2 linked regions of the Arabidopsis thaliana genome follow. The protein of the gene in region 1 purifies or fractionates together with the protein of each later gene. This does not show direct contact. Each region holds a gene or a part of one and is shown on either strand. Other genes may lie near its edges.

The links.
Region 2: the proteins of P5CR (region 1) and MCM5 fractionate together in Arabidopsis thaliana (co-fractionation; one large-scale study listed by BioGRID). This does not show direct contact.

The regions. Positions count from the first base shown.
Region 1 is NC_003076.8:4,778,768-4,793,283, reverse strand, and holds P5CR (pyrroline-5- carboxylate (P5C) reductase), read left to right. Parts: upstream 1-5,287; 5' UTR 5,288-5,665; coding exon 5,666-5,866; intron 5,867-5,947; coding exon 5,948-5,996; intron 5,997-6,089; coding exon 6,090-6,181; intron 6,182-6,306; coding exon 6,307-6,379; intron 6,380-6,494; coding exon 6,495-6,615; intron 6,616-6,693; coding exon 6,694-6,799; coding exon of another isoform or gene 6,800-6,803; intron 6,804-6,905; coding exon 6,906-7,094; 3' UTR 7,095-7,324; downstream 7,325-14,516. Other genes in the region: AT5G14820 (Pentatricopeptide repeat (PPR) superfamily protein), read left to right, coding at 1-1,212; AT5G14790 (ARM repeat superfamily protein), read right to left, coding at 7,776-8,114, 8,210-8,404, 8,493-8,625, 8,715-8,821, 8,960-9,226; FDH (formate dehydrogenase), read right to left, coding at 14,094-14,207, 14,356-14,516.
Region 2 is NC_003071.7:3,517,114-3,533,730, forward strand, and holds MCM5 (Minichromosome maintenance (MCM2/3/5) family protein), read right to left. Parts: upstream 10,388-16,617; 5' UTR 10,276-10,387; coding exon 10,006-10,275; intron 9,938-10,005; coding exon 9,794-9,937; intron 9,717-9,793; coding exon 9,537-9,716; intron 9,458-9,536; coding exon 9,359-9,457; intron 9,288-9,358; coding exon 9,151-9,287; intron 9,052-9,150; coding exon 8,946-9,051; intron 8,652-8,945; coding exon 8,517-8,651; intron 8,430-8,516; coding exon 8,352-8,429; intron 8,146-8,351; coding exon 8,041-8,145; intron 7,950-8,040; coding exon 7,858-7,949; intron 7,773-7,857; coding exon 7,640-7,772; intron 7,537-7,639; coding exon 7,441-7,536; intron 7,292-7,440; coding exon 7,200-7,291; intron 7,110-7,199; coding exon 7,019-7,109; intron 6,937-7,018; coding exon 6,827-6,936; intron 6,743-6,826; coding exon 6,613-6,742; intron 6,534-6,612; coding exon 6,432-6,533; intron 6,350-6,431; coding exon 6,266-6,349; 3' UTR 5,871-6,265; downstream 1-5,870. Other genes in the region: ABCC13 (multidrug resistance-associated protein 11), read left to right, coding at 28-125, 374-440, 528-645, 727-843, 925-1,005, 1,087-1,305, 1,398-1,499, 1,576-1,643 and 14 more. UniProt on the Arabidopsis thaliana protein: Probable component of the MCM2-7 complex (MCM complex) that may function as a DNA helicase and which is essential to undergo a single round of replication initiation and elongation per cell cycle in eukaryotic cells.

The sequences.
Region 1 (14,516 bases):
ACATATAACTCCATGATGAGTATTTTAGCAAAGACTAGACAGTTCGAGACGATGGTTTCGGTACTCGAAGAGATGGGTACGAAAGGTCTATTGACGATGGAGACATTCACTATCGCGATGAAAGCTTTCGCTGCTGCGAAAGAGAGGAAGAAAGCTGTTGGTATCTTTGAGTTGATGAAGAAGTACAAGTTTAAGATTGGTGTTGAAACCATTAATTGCTTGCTTGATAGTCTTGGCAGGGCTAAGCTTGGAAAAGAAGCTCAGGTTCTGTTTGATAAGCTGAAGGAGAGGTTTACACCTAATATGATGACTTACACTGTTCTACTCAATGGTTGGTGCAGGGTGAGGAACTTGATAGAAGCAGCTAGAATCTGGAATGATATGATTGATCACGGATTGAAACCTGACATTGTAGCTCACAACGTAATGCTTGAAGGGTTGTTGAGGAGTATGAAAAAATCAGATGCGATCAAATTGTTCCATGTTATGAAATCCAAGGGACCTTGCCCTAATGTCCGTAGCTATACCATCATGATCCGGGACTTCTGCAAACAGTCGAGCATGGAAACTGCCATTGAGTACTTTGATGACATGGTTGATTCCGGGTTGCAACCTGATGCTGCGGTTTACACGTGTCTGATCACGGGGTTTGGGACTCAGAAGAAGCTGGATACTGTTTACGAACTGCTCAAGGAGATGCAAGAAAAGGGACACCCTCCGGATGGCAAAACGTATAATGCGTTGATCAAACTGATGGCGAACCAGAAAATGCCGGAACATGGCACAAGGATCTACAACAAGATGATCCAGAACGAAATTGAGCCATCGATACACACGTTCAACATGATAATGAAATCTTACTTCGTGGCGAGAAACTATGAGATGGGGAGAGCAGTTTGGGACGAGATGATCAAGAAAGGGATTTGTCCTGACGATAACTCCTACACGGTTTTGATCAGAGGGCTTATAAGTGAAGGGAAGTCGAGAGAGGCATGCAGATACTTGGAGGAGATGCTTGACAAAGGAATGAAAACCCCTTTGATTGATTATAACAAGTTTGCAGCTGATTTCCACAGAGGGGGACAACCGGAGATATTTGAGGAATTGGCACAGAGAGCTAAGTTCTCAGGTAAGTTTGCTGCAGCAGAGATCTTTGCGAGATGGGCTCAGATGACTAGAAGGAGATGCAAACAGAGATTCATGGAAGATTGATAACTTGGGGGCGGGTAACTGGATCATTCAACTCACTCACTCGGAGAAAGCTTATCTGCAAATGGTTGGTTTTCGAGCCACAACTCTTACTTGAATCAAGAATATGACTTCACTAGCACAGCTTGGACTGAACTGATCACATTGGAATCTGTCAGATAGCTTTTTTGTAATTTGCTTCTATAACAAGAAAATATTAATTAACAATTGTGCACTCTAATGAAAAAAATTAATCATTCTTTCACTGAGAAAGTGAAGAAATGCAAGTAGGCCGAGATAATAGCTTAAAACAGAGCTTAAACCGTCTGCAAATCATTTGAATACAAAACAAAGTTTAACAAAAGGAAGATGAAACGTAGATGTTTTCATTACACAACAGACCCACACACACCATTTTATATGAGAGGGTCATATTTTTTTGAATTCTTAAATTCCAAGATACTCAATGAAGAATCACAACCTTTAGCGATAATGGGATCGAGGTCGCCTGAAAGTTCTCTGTATCAAAGGTATCAGAGCTCTGTAGTTCCTCGGAAAACATGGTGACTACAAGGTCGCAGGAGGGTGACGGAAAGGGGAAAGAGGTGGAGTTGGAGGTTCCGCTACAAAGTCAAGCTATACCTTTGATCTCACAACACGTGCTTTGCTTAACATCCCTGACTTCATATTTCCAGCTCGCCAGCTTGACCCCTGAACGCTATAGCTTGACTTCAGTTTTCCTATAACAAATCTCCCCTCTTCAGAGAACCTTGACCTCAAGGTTCATGGAAACATCTTTGCCAGTTTATAGAGTAACTCCATGTAGCCTCTTCCACATAAATCAACATGAATCATAGCTTTCCTTTTACCAAGTCCTAAACCTTGAATCGCCAAGCTTGTGACAACTTCATCATCCTCTGTTGTCTAATTCGTAGTTACTCTTTCTACGGATTTGTCAGTAAATCTGTAGCCCTTGCATCTGTCTTGTATTTAAACCACCAATCTTTGCCTAATTTCCTCACTCCCAAAGTTGAAACACAACTTTTGCTACCAAACAAGTGCATATATGTGAGCATCTTCATTGTCAAACTCTGAAACAGACCCTGAAGAAGGAGAATGCTGAAGCTCATCTTTATGCACTGAATCATAGGAGAACCAGTGTGAATTTGACCCTGAAGTGACACAATCTCCCGACCCGTTTCATGTCTGCTTGGATCTCCCATTCTTCGATCATAGAGAAGTGACAAAAAGCTAGATGTTGTAGATTTCATGACTAAGACCATCCAAGACCAGTGATCACCACTCATTTCAACATGCACCATGGTCTTGCTCTTCCAACAATGCCAAACCGCAAAATGATAAGTCATACGCAAATTGAAAGAATTCAGTCTCGTGAAACCCTCTTCCCCAAATTTATACTTGAACCACCACCGTTTGGTAAACTTGATCTTTTTGTTTCTCATCACTTCTTGAATGACTAAACTGGTTTGCAACAGCAGCCTCTTTACCATTGTAATCCGATCATACACAAATTGTTCTCCATGACCTGCATCACTCTCTGTTATCCCAAGTATCATGCTAAGCAAACATCTCACATCAACAATCCTGGCCACAATGAACATCTCTTGATGTTCTCTCTTATCAGACATTAGCTGAAAGTGTGTTGTATATCCATGTTCTCTCATCATTTGTAAATTTCTATTCACGAACTTAAATTTCCAGGACTTGAATCTGATATGTAACCCTATTGGAAGTGATTCATGATCCCCTTGGTCTTGTGAGCTGGTTTTAAATTTGAACTTCCAGGATTTGAGAGACTTACTAGGCTTCTTCTGGACATGGACGGTAGCACTTCCACAACTAGAGTGTAATTCATCAACAACAAATCCAATTGATGACAGCATTTGATTCATTGTTGCATCAACTTTATCAAAATCCTTAAGGTTTGAACGAACCTTCTGAAGTTGTGAGACACCTTCTATGTCTATGGAGTGAAACGCGGCTTGATCTTGAATCAACGGCTTATGTTCAATCCATGAATCTGTTTCACACTCTTCTATGTTGAATCCAAATACGTCCCCAGCATCCGAATTTTGATCATCATCACTAGACACAGCATCATCAATTTCAACCAAATATTTCTTCACCGTCGCAACCGCATTCTCTACCAAGTCTGAACCACTAAGGAATCGATCTCCATCATTACCTATCATGCAATTACCATCATTAATCATAGAAGTTCCTGCAGCATTACTTGAAACATGTTGAGCTTCTTTCTGATAATCATCACTCTCTTTTCTGATAAGCACACTCTTTGGGTGAGCCATCTCATATAATCTTCCCAACATTAAACATTGTTGAATTGTCTGAGGTCCAAACATCCTAACATTCAGTTGAGTATCAGTTCTCAAACCTGCCAAGTAAACACTAACCAAGTAATCTTCAGCGAAGTTCAATCTAGTGCTAATCAACTCAAATCGAGCATGATACTCCTCTATTCCTTCAGTCTCCTGCAACTGTGTCAGTTTTGCAATCGAGTCATTAACATGCTCATCATATCTCACTTGCAACAACAGTTTGTAACTCCACCAATCATGCCTAACATGCTTCCACCACATCGATTGTACAATTGATTGGTGCAAAGTCGCAGCAGTGTCATCGAAATGGAGTGAAGCGAAACCAACTTTCAATTCCTCCGGAGTACGATCAATTAAGAAAAATTGTTCAATCTGGAACAACCATTCTGTAATTCTATCACCATTAAATCTGAGATGCTCAAGTCTCGCAAAATCAGATCTCTCTTCCAATGGAAAATATTTGTTCGACATACCGACTCTCTCTTTGCTGGTGTCAGGAGTGACGATCGGAGCTGTAGATATCAGCTGTGAGGATCTTCCAATGTTGTAAGCTCTCGTATCCAACATTGATTCTCCGATGCACGGTGAGGATTGAACACCAAATTGCTGATTCGTCGTCGCCGCTTTGCCGGAACGCACATCAGATTTGTGACCACAAACCACTTTCAATGACGGATACATAGTTTCGTGAATAGCTGAAACCTCCCGATAAAACATCTGCGAACGAGTTTCTGCCATTGATTCCGAGGAAACGCTTGGCTCTGATACCAGTGTTAACGTAAACCAGAAATGAATAGACAGAGTTTGAAATCAATAGAACAGAGAGATGAAAACAAAGTACTCCGATTAACACACTTGATACAACGTTCGTAAAGAGACGCGATATCAACTTCTCACCTACAAGAGACTCGACGAGAGCTCCGGTAAAACGATGAGGGAAATCTAGAAGTCTCTAGAGAGAGATTACAACCAGATTATTCGATAATGAAAGCATGAGCATAACATGTTGCTCTTATACAAAAAGGTAAAGAAAGTAAACGTTAACCACGTTAATAACGATCGCCGTTAACGTCCATTTGCATTGCCAGCTCGCCAGCTCACAACACACGTGCTTTGCTTAACATCCCTGACTTCACATTGCCAGCTCGCCAGCTCACAACACGTGCTTTGCTTAACATCCCTGACTTCACATTGCCAGCTCGCCAGCTCACAACACGTGCTTTGCTTAACATCACCAGAGTTCAAAGCAAAAGGAACGCCTCCTTCAAACGAAACGATAACTCCAATAATGATCATTGGCACGCAAAACGCATCGGACGAGTTCGGAACGCTAGCTCGTTGTTCATCACGATTAACGACCCTCGTCTCTTCCCTCTCCCCCTCAAAGAACCACTTTCGAATGACTCGAACATCCCAACTCGAACACCAGACGACCACTTTGATCCAGGAGGCTCTTCAGAAATGCGACGGTCACGCAACAGCCGAGGCGACCCTTTTAACCTTCCTTGTCGTCTCGCTTGACTATCACCGAGACAGCACATTGCCGTAATAGCAGCCTATACTTTGATAGCCACGCGACGTTTCGATCCTCGAACCTTGAGAATCATGAAAGACAAACCAAACATTGCGTCTTCCCCATGCGCGACTTTTCACTTCCTTCGATTGAGTTTCGTGCACCTGAAATCCTGATCCACGTCATCAACGATGCATCAGGATTGGGGGGCAACTGTTAGGGGTCGGATTGGGCCTACTTGGCCCAATGCCCAAACCCAAGTCAAAAGCCCAAAATAAGTTCCAAACCAAGGAGTATTAAGGCGAAGGGTAGTTTCGTCAAATCCCTCGATGAATGCCCTACACGCGCAGAAGGCTATAAATACGGAATAGCATGTCTTGTCAAAGGGGGAGGCCGCGAGGACACTTAGAGACAAAGAGCAGCTCGTCAGCTCACCCGTCTGAAGTATCTCGCCAGCCGGCCCGTCTCAAGCAGCTCGTCAGATCACCCGTCTGAAGCATCTCGTCAGCCGGTCCGTCTCAAGTAGCTCATCAGCTCGCCCGTCTCAAGCAGCTCGTCAGCTCACCCGTCCGAAGTATCTCGCCAGCCGGCCCGTTAAATTTTCCCGATGGAGATTCTTCCGATTCCGGCGGAGAGTTTCAAGGTAGGATTCATCGGAGCTGGTAAAATGGCGGAGAGTATAGCTAGAGGTGTGGTTGCTTCCGGTGTGCTTCCTCCTAATCGTATATGCACCGCCGTTCACTCAAATCTCAATCGCCGTGATGTCTTCGAATCCTTTGGCGTCAATGTCTTCTCCACTAGCGAAGAAGTAAGTTCTTTTTCAATGTCTTGTTGTTGTTGTTGTGGTGATGAACTAAATTGAGATTGACGATCTTCAAAAAAATGACAGGTTGTTAAAGAAAGCGATGTTGTCATATTCTCTGTGAAACCTCAAGTTGGTATATATATTTCTTACCTATCCATTGATTATATGATTGATTCATCAATGTAATTTTGTGTTGACTTAAAGTTGTACCTTTCATATGATGTAGTTAAGAAGGCTGTCACAGAATTAAAGTCGAAGCTTTCAAAGAATAAGATTCTGGTTTCTGTTGCAGCTGGAATCAAGTTGAATGATTTACAGGTTTTGCATCATTTATACTCCTATACATTTGCCATTTAAGTTGTCACTATCCATGGTGTTGCATTGTGAGTTTCTAGAGCTCAATTTGGTTAAAAAACATAAAGGTCTCTCCTTTTTGTTTTTAGGAATGGTCTGGTCAAGATCGATTCATAAGGGTGATGCCTAATACACCTGCCGCTGTTGGTGAGGCAGCTTCAGGTATAGTTTATCAGAGTGTTCGCATTTGTGATATTTCTGAATTTTGTTTGTGATTTCTGTTTCTCTCTGAAGCTGTCAAATGCTTACATTTGCCAATTATGTTGTGTGTATATAGTTATGAGCCTTGGCACAGGAGCAACGGAAGAGGATGGAGCAATTGTTGCTATGTTGTTTGGCGCGGTGGGGAAGATATTGAAAGCTGATGAGAAAATGTTTGATGCTGTCACTGGTCTCAGGTACAGGAAAACACTGTAGCTGCTGAAATGCTTGAGTTGTTCAAGTCACTAATCAAGAAAATTTCAAACTTTTTACAGTGGAAGTGGACCAGCATACATATTTTTAGCAATTGAAGCTTTAGCCGATGGAGGAGTAGCTGCTGGTTTACCCCGAGAGCTTGCATTGAGTTTAGCTTCACAGACCGTCAGTGAACATCTACATCGCTTCTTTAATCTGCTTTATTATGGTATTGAATACCGAAACTAGAAAGAGAACCCTAAGCTTTGAGGTTTTTTGTTTCCTATTACAGGTTCTTGGAGCTGCAACGATGGTTAGCAAAACTGGGAAGCATCCAGGTGTGTTGAAAGATGATGTTACCTCACCTGGCGGCACTACAATAGCCGGAGTTCATGAACTAGAGAAAGGCTCTTTCCGGGCAACACTTATGAATGCAGTTGTTGCTGCAGCTAAACGAAGCCGCGAGCTCTCACAGAGCTAAATGATACATATGTAGTTGCTGCTATTGTTTCACCTCACAGATTAATCAAAATAAGGGTTATGGGCCTTATGGCATTGCTTGTTTTTAGGCGAGAGTTTTATCCCACTTGTCTTCGATGGTAGAGGTGAAGATTATTTATCTAGACTATGATGTATTAGTTCAGACAGAACTCAGATACTTTTCTATAATTCTTAATCTAATAAAAATCACTTTCAGTTTTGGGTTCAATATCTGACCAATAAGCCAAGCCTCGGACGTGATTCTGATTCTAAAAAAAATCGACTAAATTAAAGAATCTTTTACTATGAGTCAAAGCTTAATCTAGAGAAACTTCAACGAGGAAGAAGCATAGACTGGCTATCTATTTAATGATCACTGAATCTTCAAAGAATCCGACCAATTTTGCATATAACCAAAAGACTCATGACTATCTTACCAAATCTTGGTATAGAATATATACACATAAGAAAAAGAAACAAGTACTGGTAGTGAAGACAGATGAGAATCCACAAAAAGAAAATAACCCAGAAAGAAGCCAAGATTTTTCATACACGAACGTTCACTCTTTTTATCGGTCCATAATTTGCCAATTTGGTAGATCATGCCGCCATGCCGGAGAATACCATGTAAACCGTATGACTCGTAGCAAACGGTTTTTAAAAAATTTGTAGTAGAAAATGTTTATAACTGGGATGAAGATGATGAACCTGTAGTAACCAAACCCTCCCGAGCAGTAACAGTGACAACATTGGTGACACGAAGCACGGCTTGTGCGCTAAGAGCCGACAGTTTTGACTTGCAGAAAGTTTCCCAAGTAATTGGCTCTACCTCCGGGATTTGCTGTTCTTCTGGTGATGATGTCTCAGGGTTGATGAGAGGATGAGCTTTTTCATATACGCTCTGAAGTTCTAGTAGGACAGTCCGTGCAGCCTCACGGGATTCAGGGAGCTGATCGCTAAGCTGAGATGCGGCTGCTTGAACTAATTTGTCGATTCCATATTCTTTAATCCCTTCAACGCCCTGGAATATGTATTATAACGCAAGGTATTGTTGAAATTTTTACATGACATGCGATGCCTTTGTGAGAGATATATATGAAGTTGAACTTGTATTACCAGTCGAGGAACACTTCGAGAAAAGCATAATGATGCTTTGGCACGGATCCGAGGATTCCTGTTTTTGAGACAAGGTTGCAGCTTTGGTAACAGCAAGGTTGGGGAAACATATTTGGTCATTGCTGTTAAAGCTTTCTCTGCTGCCTCGCAAACAAACCGTTTGTCTTGGGAAGACTTGAGGAGTAGTTGAGTAAGCTGAAAGCATAAAGTGTATGAAAAGCTGTAAGAACAAGTAAAGTTCGCAGTAAACAGTGAAAGAATATAGCAAAGATAGAAAAGTTACCAGAGGCTCCAACAGATCTGTTATATGATTATTATATGCACTGAAGATATCTGCAGATGTCATGCATGCCGTTTTACACACCGCACTTCTTGGATTTTTCAGTGATTTCACGACAAGTGGTATCACTTTTTCACTGTTAATGGGATATGGTGAGACTTGCATTTTCCAATCTACTTTAAGAGACAATTATTTAGAAACATCAGCATAGAGAACAAAGCTTACAGCATATGCATCATTTCTTCCTTGTGGAATATCGAAAGTCGGCGAACGTTATTAAGAGCATCACAGAGTGAAATCCAGTCCTTGGACTCTAGTCCAGCTAAAACAGACTGAAACAATAAGACCAAACAGATTCTTAATGGCGTAAACAATGTAGTTCCAAATCTCTAAAATAGACAGATACAACAAATTCATCACAGTTATGATACTAATGGGAATTGATGTAATCACAAGACAGAAGCACATACCTTCAGAACTGCATCAGCATCGTCTACATTATCCAAGTTTTCAGATTCAATATATTCAACTTCCACAATAGCTATCTCTGGCTCGGGTTTCTCTGCTTCTACAACTTTAGAATCACTGGAATCCAAGGAGGCAGAGTTTGGTAATGGTCTATCTTCAGATTTTCCATTCATTTTACCAACACATGGCTTGGTCAAGCTAGCTTTACAGTCACTTATCTTCTCAGTTACATGAAGACTATTCATCTCTTTCAAAGTATTACTGGCCATACGTGAACTTACCTGCATAAAAACAGGAGAAAAAAAAATCATCATCAAAACTAAATACAGACCGTGGTAGAGAATACCATGGATATAATAATTAACCAGTGCAAGGTCAAGCACACTGCAGGAAGAAATCTAACTTATAACAATGTAGACCAGAATCATAACCAACTCTACATATCTAACACGTTCTCGAATTTACTTCCATAAAAGCTCAAAGGATACTGAGTTTTCGTGAAACTGTTACAGTAAGACTAAAATGAGAAACTTAAATCCGTTTCAAGCTCATCGGTCATCACATAGCAATAGATCTTTAGAAATTGCAAACAGATCTTTAAGTTCCACAAAGCTTGAATCAGCTAAGAAACTCCACCCACAAACAGAAATATAAAGAAGGCTGATTCAAGCTTTGTAGATTCATGTGTATACAATTACAAACCAAAACTCAAATAATAAGACACTTTAGCCTTAAGATCAGCTCTTTAGTCTCTTCGTACACTCAAATATTTTCTCAATTTCGGGATAAACACACAAGAATCTCAAAAACAAGAACAATAGTAAAATGCCATCAATAGGGAAGTAAAACTCTACTTGTCAACTTCACAGACTGTTGAATAAGATCAAAACGGGACCAATTCAACAGCACAAAACGAGACATAGCATAGATCTACATTTCCAATTCGAATTTCAAGCGATTTAACAATAACAACAAAAACACGATCTCACTCAAGAACTCTGAGAAGATCTCAATTAATTTCCAAAACAAAATCCTCGCGATTCCATTTCCGATTCATATACTTTCCACCGGCTGACTAATTCTCAAATTATAGAGATCAAATGATTATCGAAACCAGTTCAAACTTGCAAATGCGTATTCAAAAATGGAGCTAGAGAAATTTACCGGCGAATCAAAGCGGTGGCAAAAACACAGCCTCCGGAGTTGAGAAAAACTGACGGCGGAGTAGCGAAAATCTATGGACTCACAGAAATCGCCGGCCTTAAGAGTCTATATAAGGAAATGAAATTTTGAAATGCGAGAGAATCGAAAGAGAAATTTTAAGAGAGAGAGAGTCTTTTATTTTGTACAAGACGAGAAATTATAAAAACAGGCGATGCGATTTGATGCACTTTCACGAGTCGTATTCATATGGTGTGGTTTCCAAACGACGTCGTATTTCGTATGGTGTGATTTTGAAACGGCGTCGTATAATATATGTGGGACCCATACGCACAGGATTTTATTTGTCGGTTTCTAGTTACCATATGCGATACTGTGCCTCGCGGTTGAAATTAATGTTTTTTAAAAAAAATATTTCTTTCTCTCTTGTTCACATTATTCCCAAAAATATCCTCTTGACTAAATATATTATTTCCAAAACTATAACTTTTTGTTACTATATATTTCATTTTTAGCGATTATTATGTTTATTTGACATAAAGTCCTATGATTTGATTTTTGATTATGACCCCCCAGCGCCAAAAACATCCTCATCAACTGTTGTTGTAATTTAGTATCATGTTTTTTGGAAATGAATTTTCTTCAGAGATCTACATTTGTTTCTTGAGATCTTTTACAAATATTTTTTGGAAATGTTGATAAGATTGACTTTAAATGTCTACAATTTATGGATACACAGAAATGCATGGTAGGTCTAAGAGCTTTAAATCCATATCGTACTTCAGCATAAAAGAATGGTTGAATTCAAATTTGGTCAGATCCGTATAATAGTAATTAACTTGAATCATTTGTAAGATCGAGTTTTGATTTGTGACAATTAATGATTAATTTTAAGATTAACTTTAAGGTTTATAACAATGTATTAAAAAGAAAAATAATCCTACTATATTATTTGGGAAATACAATTTAAATGTAACCTTACTTTTTGTAAATAATTACATAAGTATGCCATTAGAAATAAAATTTTAAAGAGTAAATTAATTTATCTGTTTAAGGATTAAAAAGTCAAATACTAATTTAATTAATTAAATTTAATTAAAAAACGAAATACATTTTTAATTTCCAAAAACAATAACCAATCAACATATAAGATTTGATATCTAAATTTTAATTAATTTATTTAATTAGAAAAACGAAATACATTATTAATTTCCAAAAAAGTAAACAATTAAAATTAACAAATTAGATTTGATATCTAAATTATTATATTAATTTTTTATTAATTATTATAGTTCACTTCTCATCTTTATATGATTCTATTTTTGCGAAAAAATAATATCATCATTATAAAAAAAATTAGAGTTTTTTCGCATATGCCATAATTTGAATTTTTAAAAACGAATATAAACTGTTCAATACATGAAAAAATATTATAACGGGTGAAAATAGATTTAAGAAAACTTTCTACTGAGTAACAGGTCACAATTTGAAATATTTATATTCAATTTCATACATATTATATTGAAAATTTATAATCTTATATACTACAATAACATATTAGATTTTTTATGTGTATGATGTGATTCAATTTTTAACAAGCTGGAAAATCATAAAATTGACGGGTTTAGATCGATATTAATACAAGATGGTATACTACAGGTGAAACTCTTAAATTAACAATCAAACTACAAGTGTATAATCTTAAATACTAAACAATATAGATAATATCAACAAAACATATACAACTCACAGTTTACTATACATTTAAAATCAAATAAAATAATATCATATATTTTTAAATCATCTTTACAATAAAGGTTTTTAGTTTAACTAAAATATAAGCCTACCTGCGGTATACTGCAGGTTAATATCTAGATTATAGGGCTTATTGGATCTAAAGACGGGTCATCAAACATTTCCTAAACTGAAGCAAAATATACTGAATATTCTAATATCTATCTTTTACCAAATTATAAACAAATAAGTTCGTAAAACAATTTAAGATTTTATATACGAAATTAATTAAATCTTAATCACATAAAAATTAGCAAAAAAAAAGTATTCAACAATTAAAAAATTATCAAATCTCTGTGTTATATAAGTTTTGATACTATATTCGAATAAAGTGTAATATACTTTTTCAATTTGTATTCTTTAACTAATTTAAGCTAACTAATATATTTGTTTTTTTGGTGGATTGGGGTAAAAGTGCATTCGGGTCATATGGTACATTCTCCTATTAAATAAATATGGTGCACTTCTATGTTATTAGCTAAAATATTTAGATTATAATTCAGAGTCATATCATTAATAAAATTAATATTAATAAAATAAATTGCTTTTTGGCAAGACGGATTTGAAGGGACGGGTTTTTGAATCAACATTAATAAAAAAGTAAAATATAATTAATCCACCATTTCAATACGAGTTAAATCTTTAATTTGTTATCTTTTAAGATCACTAATATTAAACATATCAAATCATTCTAATTTAGAAAAGATTATATAAAACCAAAAATGTTATGTGGTATGTATAATGTTACTATATATAAAATTAAACTATAAAATTTAAATATATTAGAGAATGATACAATTTGCAAAACTTTTATATATAAAAAATAATTCTTAAAATTTAAAAATTACTACTTTGAAAAAAAAATAACGAGACGGATAAAGAAATTAAAGAACGGGTTTTATTTTGGAATTGGGTTATATGGTGGATGTATTTGAATCAATATTTATAAAATATTAAAATATTATTAATATGATGTTTTAATAGGGGTTAAAACTTCAGTTTTTTAACAATTGTCTCATGGATTCGTGGTATAACGTTACTTAATAACAATTATAAACTGTAAAATATCAATATTTTATAAAAATAAAATTTGCAAGTTTTAATATATATTACTTATAAAAAAAAAAATTGTCCCGCGGTATACCGCAGGTTAAAATCTAGTAATAATAATATTTGGTAGTAGCAGGTTGCATAAGGTGATATATTCAAAACGAAATAACGTTGCGATTATGCGTATCTTTACTATGTTAATCTTTACATAACATAACATATGTTAATCTTTCGTATGTTGTAATCAGCCATACTATATAATGAATGGGGAAATCACAAGCTATGTTCAAGACTCTAATATAATGGGACTCTACATATATAATGGTTATTCTTAACATTTTTAGTTAGTTTTCTTTCATAACTATGCTATGCATATCTTTTATCAAAATTTCATCATTCCGCTTGTGTTGTGAATCAAAAACTTATAAAACATGATGAGGAAAAACCATACACGTGAGATAATGCAGTGTGGGGGAAGGGGCAGATTTGGAAAAAGGCAAGAAGTTGGCTGTCAACATATCTGAATCTCTAACCACTGTTTGATCAAATTACAAATCGAATGATTAGCATCCCCACACCCGCTTCTCCCATCTTGAGAAAATATGAAAACAGTTTTCTTTATATTATAGACCTATAGTTTTAAATACGCATATAATAATATGGGATTCATAATTGATATAGTTGTTAAGAACTTAAATATTGATACAAATATGGACCCACGTTCCATACAATGATTCAAATATTGTCGTAATGTTGTAGTTACACCATTGTCGGTGTGTGCATCAAAATCTGATAGAGCTAGGTCCTAATAACAAGAACACTTTTCTTTAGACAAATTTAATATGCCTTTATTCATTTTTATGTTTATATAATGAGATTTGAAACCATTGAGTTCCTACGATTGGGGAAACAAATACATATGTGTGATTTAAACCACTGAGTAATATGTTCACAAACTCTCAGAACAGGGGAAGTGCCCTCCTATTATTATTGTGCTTATATAATAACAAAAACTAAACCAAAAGATGACTCAAGTCATTCGACTTAGCAAAGTCCAAATACTTCTTTATTTGTTTTCTTGAACGTTGGGGTCGTTTCTCATCATCTTCCCAATGTCACCTCCTCAAAAGCTTACCGGTACTGAGGAGCAAGTTCACCGTCCTTGACGATGTAATTCTCAGTAGGGAAGTCTTCTCCCTTGAAGTATCTCTCCAACATGTCTTTCGTCCCCGCCGCATACCGTAGCTACAAATTTTGATCACACAAAATGTTTTAGTTCCAAATTTCCAACATTACTTTTTGGATAAAACAACACCTTTTCATTCGTTAGCAAAAGTTTCCAGAGAAATTTATGCATATGATATGTGTAACGGTTCAAGGAAAACAATATAACCTGAGCGTCAATGGTGGTGCCGGAGGTATGAGGGGTCATAGCCTGGTTAGGCATGTAACGCCATGGATGGTCCTTAGGAGCTGGCTGTGGGTCCCAAACGTCTCCGCTGTACCCTCCAATGTGTCCACTCTCCACCGCATCCACCACTGCTTGCCTCTCCA
Region 2 (16,617 bases), on another chromosome or scaffold:
AATTTTTCATTCAAATATATGTCTCAGCCTGCCTTTGCAAATTGGGATAGCTTTGTATCTTTTGTATACTCAAGTCAAGTTTGCTTTTCTTTCTGGACTTGCAATCACCATCTTGCTGATACCAGGTACCCAGTTTACATTATCGTAACTACAATATAGAATGCCCATTTTTTTCTTTTGAATATCTGGAAGTGTAAGCCCAAAGGCCATACATCTCCTAGAGGCGAGACCCACACCATTTTAGATTCATCTCCTTTGAAAAAGAAATCCCTCCCAACGTGCCTCGAACCTATCACCTCCACGGAGATTTAGTATTGGGCCAATAGCTCGTTGGTGATGCCAGTTTTTCTCATTTTCCCTTTTTTTTTGGCAGTGAATAAATGGATATCGGTGCTGATTGCATCTGCAACAGAGAAAATGATGAAGCTTAAAGATGAGAGGTGTGAGAAAACGTTTAGTAAGTGTTGATCATAAGAGGGATGTTAGTAGTAATTTCTCACATTGTAAAAAGTTTTGTTATCTATCAGGATTAGAAAAACAGGAGAGCTTTTAACAAACATACGCACACTTAAAATGTATGGATGGGATAACTGGTTTGCTGATTGGTTGAAGGAAACAAGAGCCACCGAAGTGACTCACTTAGCGGTTAGGTCTTCGTATCCTTCCTTTTGCTGTTTTGTCCAAGTACTTTGTATTAACGTTTAAGTCTTCGTTTGGCTTTTCTAGACTCGGAAGTATTTAGATGCTTGGTGTGTTTTCTTTTGGGCAACAACACCAACTCTTTTTTCTCTTTGCACTTTTGGTCTCTTTGCTCTGATGGGTCATCAACTTGATGCAGCAACGGTACTTTTTGAATCTGCTCTATAACATTTTCTGATTCAAATATGTAAAATTTTCTTGACAATCCTGTTTTTTTTTTTCCAGGTGTTTACTTGTCTTGCTTTGTTTAATAGCTTAATCTCTCCATTAAACTCGTTTCCATGGGTCATCAACGGTCTCATTGATGTAAGATTATCTTTCGATCATATTAAGAAGCATTTTTATCTACCATTTTAGTTATATATCATTTTTGTTACCTTGTTGCAGGCCTTTATATCCACCAGGCGTGTGAGCAAGTTCTTGTGTTGTTTGGAGCATAGTAGAGATTTTTCTATAGATTCTGGATTTACATCTGAAGACTTAGCTGTATGTGTGGAAGATGCATCTTGTACTTGGTCAAGTAACGTAGAAGAGGATTATAACTTGACAATAAAACAAGTAAGCCTAAGAGTGCCAAAGGGATCTTTTGTTGCAGTTATCGGGGAGGTATACGAATCGTCCCCACCGTTAGAGCTGCATAGTTCGATTAAATTATGATTAGGTGTTTCTTAAACTCTTTTTGTTTGCTTAATTTTCAGGTTGGTTCAGGTAAAACATCGTTGTTGAATTCACTTTTAGGCGAAATGCGGTGTGTTCATGGATCTATACTATTAAATGGCTCTGTGGCATATGTACCACAGGTTTGTAAACTGGTTAAATACTTTCTTTTTGGTTTCCACTATGAGAAGTCTTACATGTACCTCACTCACCTTCAAGGTCCCATGGCTTTTGTCTGGAACTGTACGTGAAAACATTTTATTCGGGAAGCCTTTTGACTCCAAAAGGTTTAGTAAGTTTGCTTCATCAACTCTTAAAGTTATGATCTAGTGTAACTGATAGACAAAGCTAGTGGTGACTTTGTTAAACTAGGTATTTCGAGACATTGAGTGCTTGTGCACTAGATGTGGATATTTCACTTATGGTCGGAGGAGACATGGCGTGTATAGGTGATAAAGGACTAAACTTATCCGGAGGACAGAGAGCTCGGTTTGCTTTGGCCAGGTTTGCTATATATCTCCTATGCTCTTTCACCATCCATAGACTTGAGTGTTGTGTTTCTGATGATTTTGTGTGTGCTTTATCAATAGGGCTGTTTATCATGGTTCAGACATGTACCTTCTTGATGATGTACTGAGTGCAGTGGATTCACAAGTAGGATGTTGGATATTGCAAAGAGCACTTCTGGGTCCTCTGTTGAACAAAAAGACTCGTGTTATGTGCACTCACAACATTCAGGTCTCAAATCTCTCTACACGTTAAATATTTATCTATCTCAATTTAATTTTTTCTCATACCGTCAAGCTGTTTCTACTATGACAGGCGATATCTTGTGCAGATATGATTGTTGTGATGGACAAAGGAAAAGTGAATTGGTCAGGAAGTGTTACTGATATGCCCAAATCCATTTCTCCAACATTTTCTTTAACCAATGAATTTGATATGTCATCACCAAATCACTTGACCAAAAGAAAAGAGACTCTATCTATCAAGGAAGATGGTGTAGATGAAATTAGTGAAGCTGCGGCGGATATCGTCAAATTAGAGGAACGAAAAGAGGGTCGAGTTGAAATGATGGTTTATAGGTAAACAAAATTTGCTTAACCATGTCTTTTTTTTGTTGCCTATATGTATAAGTAAGTGATTGTTATCTGTTTATGCAGGAACTATGCTGTGTTTTCTGGTTGGTTCATTACTATTGTAATATTGGTTTCAGCGGTTTTAATGCAAGGGTCTCGTAATGGAAATGATTTGTGGCTATCATATTGGGTTGACAAGACAGGAAAAGGAGTATCGCATTACTCAACCTCGTTTTATTTGGTATTAAACTCGCGCATAAAACCACGAAACGTAACTCTTATGTCTCTGTGTTTTTCTAGTTTAATAATAACTACTAATCTTGCAGATGGTTCTCTGTATCTTTTGCATCATTAACTCAATATTAACCTTGGTGAGGGCATTCTCATTTGCATTTGGAGGATTAAAAGCAGCAGTGCATGTTCATAATGCATTAATCAGTAAGCTTATAAATGCACCTACACAGTTCTTTGATCAGACACCAAGTGGAAGAATACTTAATAGGTTAGACACAAGGAAACTCTTTGAATCATGTGTCTTGTTCTTCATCTTAACTTCTTTTTTTGGTTTTACTCTGTTCAGGTTTTCCTCTGATCTATATACCATCGACGACTCTCTCCCGTTTATTCTCAACATTCTTCTAGCAAATTTTGTTGGCTTGTTAGGGATTATTGTAGTATTGTCTTATGTTCAGGTTTGTCTGAAACTCTTCTCTCTTTTTGCTAAGTATTAACTCTTCTGTTTTGTTGGAGAAGTTACATTAATGTATAATATGTATACAGGTTCTATTCCTGCTTCTGCTTCTGCCATTTTGGTACATATACAGCAAGCTTCAGGTACATATACAACTTCTTGTAGCCAATCTGATTTCATATTTGGTGTCCCTTAGAGAAGAAGAAGAGTTCAAATTTTCTACTAACTGAAAATTGCTTCAGGTCTTCTACAGGTCTACTTCAAGGGAACTACGAAGGTTGGACAGTGTTTCACGATCACCGATATATGCATCGTTCACGGAGACACTTGATGGGTCATCAACTATCAGGGCTTTTAAGTCTGAGGTAGTTTTGGTTCTGCTTCTAAATGTCAGGTTTTGCTTCTCCATTAATGACAAAACTGTATGCTAATTCCGGTTTGCATGACAGGAGCATTTTGTAGGTAGATTTATTGAGCATTTGACGCTATACCAGCGGACTTCTTACTCAGAGATAATCGCAAGCTTGTGGCTCTCCTTGCGTCTTCAGGTACACTAATACATCTTTGCTTACATTTTGTAGAACATTTTTCATTCACCTTTTGAGAATTGGTAACAATGTTTAGTTTCATGTGTCTGCAATAAATATGGAAATCTCGAAAAATCGCTGATAAGTTGAGTAAAATGGTGCAGTTGTTAGGATCAATGATTGTCTTATTTGTCGCTGTAATGGCTGTCCTCGGCTCCGGGGGGAACTTTCCAATCAGTTTTGGTACACCTGGACTGGTAAGAAACTGCAGTTTTCATAAATATATAGGAAAGTGAAAAGCATACTATTTATAATTTGGATCACAGGTGGGATTAGCGCTCTCATATGCAGCTCCATTGGTTTCTCTGTTAGGAAGCTTGTTAACAAGTTTTACTGAAACAGAAAAAGAAATGGTTTCTGTTGAAAGGGTTCTCCAGGTAATGATTCTGATTCTTTTTTTGGTTTGTCAACCGAAATTAATTGCAGCTCAAAAGAGCCATTCCTGAGGAATGTTGTTTACATATATGATATGATGTGGTTCGGTACAAATTCGTCGTGCCAAATTATCCACTTCTACATTCGCACTACGAGAAATCAAAGATAAAGATAATGATTCTGATTCATTAAGTAATTTTTGTATGTTAGTGTTACTAATTACATGAACCATGCTCTCCTGTGTTATTAGTACATGGATGTGCCTCAAGAAGAAGTTTCAGGTCCTCAATCTCTCAGCGATAAGTGGCCTGTTCACGGATTAGTTGAGTTTCACAATGTGACAATGAGATACATCTCAACTCTGCCTCCGGCCCTCACCCAAATTTCTTTTACAATCCAAGGAGGAATGCATGTACGTGTATCGCCGAGCACTCTACAACAGACTTGACTTTTTCTGTTTTTATCTTTTCTCCCAACATATACAATTTATATGAAGTTATCGGGAAGAGACTATCCGCTAGAGAGAGCACTCTACAACAGAATTGACTTTTTCTGTCTCATGATTGTTTTGTTTTCATTTATCAGGTAGGAGTAATTGGAAGAACTGGTGCCGGGAAGTCCTCGATCTTGAATGCGCTTTTCCGGCTTACTCCTGTTTGTAGTGGAGAGATATTGGTGGATGGAAAAAACATAAGCCATCTTCCGATAAGAGAACTCCGTTCTTGCCTCGCTGTTGTTCCTCAGAGCCCTTTTCTGTTTCAAGGATCACTGAGGTGAGAACTTAACTCCTTCAATTCACTAACCAAAGGTGTTGCCTGCAGTTTCATAATGAAAAAAAGTTGTGGTTCTCGTAGGGATAACCTTGATCCTCTTGGGTTGAGTGAGGATTGGAGAATCTGGGAGATCCTAGACAAGTGTAAAGTTAAGGCAGCGGTAGAAAGTGTAGGAGGGTTAGATTCATATGTAAAGGAATCTGGTTGTTCCTTTTCTGTTGGACAGAGACAGCTTTTGTGCCTTGCTCGTGCTTTGCTCAAGTCATCTAAGATCCTATGCCTTGATGAATGCACCGCCAACATCGATGTTCACACAGCTTCCCTACTCCACAACACGATATCGAGTGAATGCAAAGGCGTAACCGTCATTACCATTGCTCACCGCATTTCTACGGTTGTTGATTTAGACAGCATCCTAATTCTTGATCGTGGAATTCTTGTTGAACAAGGAAAACCACAACATCTTTTGCAAGATGACTCCTCAACTTTTTCAAGCTTTGTCAGAGCTTCTCAGTGAAATGTTGTTAGAATCTGATCACTTGTAACTTCTGATCTCTGCTATAATTATCTTGTCATGGAAATTAAGAAAAACTAGTTTCAACTGTAGTAGCTCATTTATATGCTCAGTTTTCCATAATAAATGAGTCTTCATGGACTTGCCTAATCCAAATTCATAAATATCTATCTAATTCGATGGTGATTGAGAACTGAGAAGTAAACAATGGTACTCTTATTGTCTGTTTTTCTTCCAAGAAGTTAGTTCAGAAGGAATTGATTCTTCATTGCAACTTAAAACAGCTTTAGCCATGAGTTTCCCAAGCTATGCATGATAGAGTAAAGTAATTGGCCAAAAATATGTTAAATAGAGAAGCAATTATCTCTCAACAACACAAGAACAAAATGAAATTGAGAGATTCCGGGAGCTTCAGAACCAGTTCAAAATTCAACAACATACTAGTTTTGTAACCCGAACCAGTTTAAAAGAAGAACATTTTGAGTCAAGTTCAACCATGGTTATTTATTTCATTTTTTTTTCAAGGTAACAACATTCTACTAATAACAACATTAAGAAAATTTTAATTTACATATACGTTCAGATTACACTTTTACTTTATCAACTATTCTATCTGCATCTTTACTTTAACTATCGGCACTAGATTATACCATTCAGCAATCTTCAAACGCTTTCCTAACATTGGCGTGACATTTTAACTAAGGACAACAAAGGTGGAGAATACATTAGTTTGAAGCAAGCGTAAAAGTTTACTAAGAATCTTCATCAAATACACATGACATAAGCTTCTCTTTCTACTTTTTGCCTACAAATTAACTTGATAATATTAAATATTTTGTTTTGTTTGGTCATCGCTGCTACTAAAGAAGAGAGATTGCATGCCTAGACGATCAAGCTTTGCGGACAATAGAACGTCTCTCTCGCTGGTACTCAACTTCACCTCTCTGGTGCATTATCAACAAAGCTCTCCTCACCTGCCATTTTAACATGCACATTACCTCAAAAATCCCATTCACATTACTGAAAATTAAACAACAAAGATGTTAGCTTAGGTACCATTGAATCGTTCATTCCCATTCTAGCCAGATCCTCTATCAGTCTTCTCTCTGATAATCGAGCTCCGATCCCCATTCTTCTCTTTATCTGTGTTTCCGCTTGCTGTTTTTTCACACCAATACCAAATTTAGTTATTACATCTAGAGATACGATGATTCTTTCTTCCCCACAAGCAACTAACCTTGATTTCATTGGCCATCTCGCCTGTTATGTTTATCTGTTGATTTATCCCTGATCTTGCTGCATCCATTGTCGAGGTATCAAAAAGTTTAAAAGCTTTGTCTACATCATCTGGTGTGGCCTCGTGTGACCTGACATATTTAACAATGTCAATGGACGGCACATCCCATCAGGTTTCAGGAATCAGGAATCTCTATGTTAATAAGATTACTTACAGTCTCATTTTTGCAAGTGACTCACTCAGTCTGACAATAGCTTCGAGTTGTCTCACTGTGATAGGTATCGGAGCAGCCTCTCCTGTTTCATGTGCACGTCTCTTCATATCCTGTTTAGCCGAAAATTTTATACTGACACCAACTTTGTTTTTTAACCATCTTATTGTCAAATCTAATGTAAATGACAATTACCATTCTGATTGTGACATATTTCCGCTGCAGGTTCTCAGCAGCGTCTTTTGAGAGACGGGGATGACACCTTGCTCGACAGTATTGTATATACCTAACATAAAAAGAGCATTATATTTTAGAGTCATGATTTTGTACAGAAAACTGCGAGAACACATTGTTTTCTCGACGAATGAAAACACACCTTTTGAGCCAATTATCTTCTTTAGAATCTGTGTTTTCATCCGAAAATTTGTTTGCAGATGCATGAACCCTTATAATATGGCTGGCTATTTCCTGTGAAAAGATTATAAACATTAATCATGTCTACATAATAAGCAAGCAACGAAGCAAACTTTCCAATAACAGTGACCTCCATCATTAATCTCTGTTTTCCCTTTTAACTACATAAAATTTCTGAAAGAATTGTTCCTTTCCTTGCTTACCTTGTCTTGGGAATACTTCCTGATGTCCTTGACAATGAAGATAAGATCAAATCTAGAAAGAATTGTTGTCTGCAGATCGATATTGTCCTGAGCAGTCTGCAAATCCAAAGAAAAAAAAACACACCCATCTCTTAAGAATATTGCAAACAAGAATCGGGAAAACCATGATATTGCCAAAGGAGAGTACCAGATTTCAAACCTTAAGGTCATCATATCGACCAGATGGCGGGTTAGCAGCAGCAAGCACCGAGGTTCTAGAATTAAGGACAGTTGTTATCCCAGCTTTTGCAATGGAGATTGTCTGCTGCTCCATTGCCTCATGAATAGCAACCCTATAAAGAAAAAAAAAACATTCCATCAATTCTACTCATAGAGAAAAATTAGATTCGTCAACACTATGATTCAGATTTGAATTACCTATCTTCCGGTCTCATCTTGTCAAATTCATCAATACACACAACACCTCCATCAGCCAAAACCATAGCACCACCTTCAAGATAGAACTCTCGCTGCAATGAACATATGTATAAATAACTGAGAATCTGTCATAGCAACTACTTTTAAACAAATCATAGAAAAACACTTGAAGATAGGACATACAGTGCTGCTATCTCGAATCACCGAAGCTGTGAGCCCAGCAGCCGATGAACCCTTTCCAGATGTATAAACAGCAATTGGAGCCGTCTTCTCCACAAACTTAAGAAACTAGAGAGAAAAAAAATAAGCAATTAAGCTTTAAACATGTAAGCTACAGGTGTTGGAAATAACACAGACATTTTGTAAGGATTGTAATCTAACACTTGAACAGAAGGATGTAAGACGAATATCAAGCAAATAAGAGAGACGTAAGAAAATATAAAAAGAATAACACACTTATTATAAACCATTGATACTGAGACCACATTACAAACCTGTGATTTTGCAGTTGATGGGTCTCCCAAAAGCAAAACATTAATATCACCTCTTAGTTTCACTCCATCGGGCAGGCTCTGAATCAAAGATAGAAATGTATATAAATATATCAAAAACGTATACAAAGTGCACAGAAAATAAAAACTGCTATCACAGTTTCCTACCTTCCTGGATCCTCCAAAGAGAAGACACGCAGCTGCTCTCTTCACATCCTCATGGCCAAATATAGAAGGAGCGATCTTGGTGCAAATGTTCTTGTATACATCTTGACTATCAGCAAACTTTTTGAATTCTTCCTCCTAAAAGTAATATTATGGAAGACAAAACTGATAAATGGAATTGTACAACTAGGCTTCCAAGCAGGCCTAAATGTTTCATAGTAAACTAGTAGCACAGAGAATATTTCCAGAAAACACCATCACATTCATTTGGGAGTTACACAAAGAATTTCATAGAGCCAACAGCTACCTAAGGCATTTGGTTTCCAGTAACAATAATTCAGCCATGTTAACTTCAATAGTTCATTGTGAAACCATGGATGACATAGGCTATCAAATGAGAAAACAAAAAGAACCAAATGATGCGATACTAACTTCGTCAGGAGTGAAGTTGGCAGGGCCACGGGAACTGGCCTCATTTGTGTCTTCCAGTCCAACAACTCGGATATAAGGCTGGCGAATTGCAACTGCTCCTTTATGCCTACATCAGAAAGTAGGAAAAGATGTCCATCATTGTTGTGGTGTAACTCTCCCAGAAAACAATCTACACTCTCATTTGACATAAAACTACAAAGCTTACGAGTTAGATGATGACGAAGCTTGGAAAATGCTGTAGATACCCATTACTGTCAGTCTGGTTCCAGGTACAATTGTTTGTACAAGATGCCGATCAACTGAGAGAAGCATATTTCTTGGAAGCTCTCCAGTAGGAACATCCTTCAAAACTCAGAAGCATTTAATATATACAAGTGCAAAAAAAGCGAAAACATTACAATGTAAATCTATACCTCCGGATTCTCCTGTAGCTTTAAGGTCTGTTGATCAACATACTGGCTCCTATCAGGAACCACCATCCAAGGATCAAGAGGGCAAGGCTCCTCTCCAGGCTAAACAAATTCCAATTTGGTCTAATCAACACCAAGGATAACTACAAACTCAAATCACAAACGAATCAAAAGAACTCACCTGTGGAATATTATCACATGATCGAGGAACAATTGCCCCACCAAGACCCGGACGACATGGAACTTCCCTTGTCTTTTTACAATTCTTACATACCAAAAACACATAAGTCGCCTTTGCTTTCACTCTCGAAGCTGCAATACTAATCCCAGAGATTTTCACCAACTTTGAGATGTACTGTGCCTATCAAGAGTAAAGAGTACATTATAGACATACCCCAAGTAATCTCATTGATACTAAAAACAAAAAAACAGACATACCCCAAGTAATCTCATTGATACTGGATCCTCTCTTGAAGTGAGCAAAATCTGCACATCTCTAGTCAGAGGTTCCTCCATTACCCCTCCCTCATTAGCCTCCCTCATTTTCAATCCAGTCAACACTTCACCAGCTGCTTTCTCAAACTACAATTCAAAGATTGACTCACTCAATACAAAGCTTATATGAACCCTAATTTTTTTTGAAGTCATACCACAGGGAGATAATCGGCAGGAGCAGATCGGATTAAGGAGGGGAGATCGGAATCAAAGGAGAGGAGATCTTCGAGGTGGACAACAAGTCGCTTAGGGTTATCGAGGAGAGCTTCTCTGTAGGGGAAACAATTCTGTTCGATCTCGAAGTTTCGAATGAATTCCTTAAATTTGGTTAAGACGGCGTGGGGACTGATGGTTGCGGCGTCTCCGGCCTCCGGGAACTGCGGCTGGTCGCTGTAGTAAACTGCTCCTTCGTCCCATCCTGACATCGTTGCTTCGTCTCCGTTACGAATTTCTCTATCTCTTTCTCTCTTATCAAAAAGTTCTAAACGAAGAGAGAGAGTGGGGGCAAGGGCTTTATGTCGACTATGAGTTTTGGCGGGAACAATGTGGCGGGAAACTGATGGGCCGAACCCAAGACCTATGGACGGGTAAATGGATTTCGTTGGTTATTGGGTCTTTCTTTCTTTTTCTTTTTAGCTAAGGTTACATTTTTTATCCATTTTTTCTAATTTATTATAAAAAACCAAACAGATAAAAATATAATTATGGACTACATCTAGGAATCTTAAATTTATGAATTGCACATTTTAGAATTTCATATTTTTAAGCTACTTAATATCGTTGTAAGCATTTTCAATTCCATCGTAATTTTCTTCAATGTCACTTAAAATTTAAGGCTATATTAATATATATGTTTAAAAGAATAGTTTTTAGTTTTATAACATTAATAATTTGAAAATTAAGTAACTATAAAAAAGAAAAGAAAAATCAACCATATATATCCTTCTCATTTACGTTAATTACAGAAATGTCATTAACATGATAAATGTTTTTGAGAATATTAGGTAATTGGACACTTTTTTGAAACTCAATTACGCAATAAAGCACTTTAGAAAGAGTAAACACTTTTTAAAGTTTTTTTACTACTACACCATCAACCCAACCTAAGCAATCCAAACTTACCATAATTTACAACCATTACTTTTTCTCTCTTTTCATTCATTTTTTTCTCTACTCTTTACAAAATTAAACACACAAAACACTTAAAATATCTTAATGAAAAAAGGAAATGGTTTGAGACATTATCTCTCTTCTCTCTCATCAAAAACACCAAAAAGTAGATCTAGATTTTTCTTTTTTCTTTCTCTTCTTAGATCTTAAAAGTTGGAAATTTTCAAGATTTTTATTCAGTTTCTCATTCTTTAATCAACCTCATAAGGTTAAAATTTTCATTTTTAATTGCTAGGTTTCTTCTTCTCTTAGTGTATCCATCATTGTCTTGGTCAAATTTTTGTCTTTTTACAAATCTTAGATTTGGCCACCAAATATTTGTGGAAATTCCTCAAAGAGAGAGAGAGAGTTGAATTAAAGAACCCAAACATATATTCTTACTATAAATTTGTAACTTAAAGGTAGTTTGATGCTATTTTCATTAAAACACATGAGCAAATAATGAAAAAATGGAAAAAATACAAAACAAATCAAAGAAGAGTGATAGGCGATAATTTGAAATGACCACATGGTCAGAGTTTGGTGGATGTGTGTTGACGGTCGATAATTCAAAATGATTGTGTTTTGTTAATACTATTCATAAAACCAGTGTTACGTTATGTAAAAGATGTTGATAAAATGTGATGAAACAAGTTTTGTTGGTCATATCAACAAAAGTTTATTTATGAAAATGTTTATATTTATTTATCCACGATTACATATTAACAAAACATAAATACGAGTGTATATCGTAAGATTGTGTATGAACACATCGATCTCAATAATATTTTACGTTTTCAGGTTAAGAAGCGTGCTTTAGATTATCATGGATCAAAAGTGGTGGTTATAGATTATGTACATATAAAACTTAGGTTTTAGGGTTTAGGCTTTAAAGTCAAGGGCTAGGGTTTAATGTCTAGGGTTTAAGATTTAGTATCTAGTGTTTACATTTTAGGATTTAGGCTTTATTGTTTAGGATTTCGCGTTTAGTTTAGATGATTTAGGGTTTTGGGTTGAAGAATCAAAGTTGTCTACAATGATTTAGGGTTTATGGTTACATGTTTCTCATTGGAGATTATATATTCCATTGTTGTCCATATGGATTGGATAATATGGATTTTCTATCTCAATTTGTTTATATTTAGGGGATTTATGTTTAATATTTATGGACAACAACAAGAAGTTTTAAAGTGAAGATCTTAGAATTTAGGGTTTAGGGTTTAGGGTATACGTGATATGGTATATGTATATTGTTAAGGGTTTAGTCTTTATGGTTTAACAGGTTTAGGGTTTAATATCAAGGGTTTAGAGTTTAGGGTTTAGGGTTTAGGGTTTAGGGGTTTAGGGTTTAGGATTTAGGATTTAGGATTTAGGATTTAAGATTTAGGGTTTAGGGTTTCGGGTATAAATTTAGGGGTTAGGGTTTAATGTTTAGAGTTTAGTATCTAGTGTTTAGGGTTTTAGATTTAGTGTTAAGGAACTATGATTGTTTACAATGATTATAGAGTTTATTGTAGATGGTATAAGGTTTAGGGTTAATTGACCATGGTCATATACAATTATTTTTGGGTTTAGGGTTATATGCTTCTTGTTAGATTATATATTTCCATTTTGATCATATGAATTAAATCATATGAATTTTTTATGTTCTCAATTGGTTTATGTTTAGGGGATTTATGCTTAATATTTATAAGCAATAATAAGAAGGTTTAAAATTTAGGGTTTATATGGTAAATGGTATATGATATATTTCTATGGTTAAGGGCTTAGTGTCTATGGTTTAAAGTTTAGGGTTTATGGTTTAGGTGTTTAAGGTTTAGAGTTTAGGGTTTAGCGTTTAGGGTTTAAAGTTTAGGGTTTAGGGTTTAGGGTTTAGGGATAAGAGGTTTAAGCTTAATATTTATGGGCAACATTAAGAAGGTTTGGGATTTAGGGTTTATGGTATATGGTATATGGTATAGGGTATACGTATATGGTTAAGGGCTTAGTGTTTATGGGTTAAAGTTTAGGGTTTAGGGTTTAGATATAGAAGTTAGGGTTTAATGTATAGAGTTTAATATCTAATGTTTAGGGTTTAGAATTTAGTGTTAAGGAACTATGATTGTTTATAATGATTTTAGAGTTTATGGTTATATGGTTCTCATTAAAGATTATATATTTCATTGTTGTCCAAATGGATTAAATCATATGGATTTTTTGTTTTCTGAATCTGTTTATGTTTTGATGATACAATAAATAATAGTATGAATAAATATAGTAATATGGATTTCATGAAGGAAAAAATGTTATTATTATATATTTTATAAAAAATGATTTTTAATCAAATAGAGAATGTCTTAAATTAAATAAAAATTAAATAACAAAAGGAAGAGAGAGAAGAAATTGACAAGAAAGATAAGAAAGTGATAGATAGAGAAAATATGTTTTATTTATTTAAATTTGACGGTCAAGATTAAAAGAGATTAACTTTACCTTTCAATTCGATGGACGAGATGATTCCGTCAAAACCATTTCTTAACCATGCTACTTGATTTAAGGTGAAGAGAATAAGGGGTAAACTGGTATTGATTTTTTTAAAATAGTGAAAAAACTCCAAAAAAGTGTCTATTCTCTTCAATGTGCCCTAAATGCACTAAAAACTTGGAAAATGCCCCAATCATGAAAGAAGCCCAATTTTTTCTGACGTAATATGTGGCGACACAGTTCATAAACCGCTCGATAACACTGCTCACATGCGACCGAAACACTATTCATCAGATGATATAGTAAAACATCATATGATTTAAGCATTTATCTATTTGTTTTATATGCTAAAAAATATGATATCGCGATAAGTTTACTTTTAAACAAATCTTTTATCGACCTAGAATTGAAAATTAATATATTTTTATTTATGTAAATATCAGTTCAATTTAAAGAATTAGTTTATTTCTTACATAATTAATATAATAGCAGTTAAAACAACATGTTATATAAAATAATAACATGCTAACATATTTAATATCTAGATAATATTTGTATGAACGTGCCATCTCAATCCACGTTTTCATTCACGCCACCTCTTTTTTTGTCAACTCACCAATACTGATTTTAATATCTTTGTTTCGATTTGATTTTATGTTTCCATTATTATTCTTATAGTTTTGTATCGTCAGAAATTAAATAAAAGAGAAACAAAAGAAAGAAAAAAAGAAAAGAGAGAAAAGGGGTAAAAGAGTCAAAAAGAGGATGATAAAAAGAGGATAAACAAAAAAGAGGATGATAGTGACATGTGCACAGTGATCAAGTGGTCAACCTAATTAATGAGTCGTTCATGTATATCTATTGATATTACCCTAAAATTTAAAGATGTGATTCAACTAAATAAAATAAGTTTATTACAAAAATATAAACTTTTTATTACCTTCTAAATTCACAAAACCACGTAGTCAATTTCAAGTATAAAGCAAGGTTTTGACAATTTTTAGAATAAGACAATTTTTTTTACAAAGATTTAACCACTTACATCCAATACTAAACGATGATTTTGTTACTATTGTGGTGATTAAAATGCTAAACACATAAAGACGCTCATAACCTCCATGTACGTTAAAGACATCAAATCTAAATATTTTTCCAAATTTGATGTTGTGTTGTCAAAACCAAGCTGGATGCTCCTCTTAACATCAAAGAGATCATGTATGATATAGACATACTAAATTAAACAAGTATGATTATTATACTATGAACTTGAAATGTGAATTGATTTAAGAATTTACACCCACAACCTCATATCTATCCCATAACTAGAATGGTAATGTACTAATCCCGATAATTTAGCAAACTTGAATTAAATCTTCCTAGCCATCTCTTCTACTCTCAAATCACTAATAAGGTTCAAATTACCCTAGAACTACTCTCTCATATAAGAGATCAATTGCAGTATTTAAGGATCGAATTCACAAAGTTCTTTTGTTCAAACAATAAGTTGAATGTCGAGATTAAGCTAGAAGGTGATGATTGAAATAGTAATAAAACAAAGTAAGATAACAGCAGGTTGATTGTGTTGTAAAAAATTAGGAAAAGAGGTAGGAACAGAGTATTCTCAAGAAACTATTGGTTAGTAGATCTAATGAAAGCTAGGTTGTTATCGAACCATTCTTAAACTCAAACCCTAATTATGGAATAACCGGTGGCTTTAGTACCCCGCGCATTGACCCCAGGCAAGAAAGAAGGGCAAGAGAAGAAGAAGAGAGAATGGTGCGTGAAATGAAAGGAAGGGCCGAGTATTTATAATCCGCGGAAGCTAGAGTAGAGCCCAAGTCTTAAAACGTGGAGCCGAATCCATTCGGGCAAAGCCGACTTGGTGACCAAGTTTTGTCCTGAGCAATGCACGCCAACTTTAGCCAACTTGGTGAGCAAGTTTTGTCCCAAAGCCAACTTGGTGACCAAGTTTTGTCCCACTCCTCATATCCGAACCTTGAGCCTATAAATAGAACCTTACCCCCCCCCCCTTAGTTACACCTTAGAAGCTTTCGCACCAAAACTCTGCCCAAACCGAGAGGGAGAGAGAGAAATCATCCGAACCCTTAACCCGAGAGAGAGAGAGAGATCGTCCGAACCTTAAAACCCGAGAGAGAGAGAGAGAGTCTGAGCAAGAGATCGTCGAGCCTTAGGATAGTCCGAAAGAGAGATCCCGAGTAGAAACCATCGGTCGAGTTAGGAAGATTCATCGGTGATTGTGAGTTCCGGTTTTTGTTTTGCATGTTTGATTTTCCTTCTTGCATGTTCTCGATTCTCCCTTCTCTTAGTTTTGTTGTTGTTATGGTTGAGTTTGTTGAGGTTGTTAACCTAATAGCTAGGATAGTTGAGACCGAAGCACCTTGCCCTATAGGAGTGGTTGTGTTAGAATAGCACCATTCACTTTAGAGGGATGGTTGCATTGTCAAGACACTACTCGCTAGTATTCGGGAGACATTTAGAGAGAACTTTATGAACATGTGCGTTGAAAACGAACCGCATGTTTCATAGTGTTGATTGGAAGATCGTAGTGTGTGGAGCTTGAAGAGTATCTAAGTTAACTCCATAAGCATGCTACGGTCAAGTGGGATGTATCTGACCTTTCCTTGTGATTCTGTTCGTTCGTGGGGTGTGCTTGACGAGATGCAAGTGACCTCAAGGGGTTCAAAGGACCTATAGAGACTGGGTTAGCTACCCAAGGCCCGGTGTCGCTTACACGATGGTGTAGCCAAGGTGATGTTCCAGTTATATGCATTTGTGGTTATAACTAGGGTGTTCACGATGTGTTGAGGAAGGCAGTGCATTCGGGTCCTAATTAAAACTTTAAGAAACGTTATCTTCTTGTTGTGTTGTGTGTTGCTTACTTCCTTCTTTGTGTACTCTGATTATTTATGTTATGCATGTGGGATTATGGGTGGGGATTAAACTAATGTTTCCTTAGGGAACCCGAGCTCATTGAGTAATGCTAGATTACTCATGACTTTACTTGTTTTGCATGAAACCTTAGAGGGGATTAGAGGGAGTGGTGAACACTAGGGAACCCGGAGTAGTTTTTCAATGTCCTTTTGTAAAACTTAAAATATGTATTTTCGTATCGTGTACTTTTGGACCTCATGCCT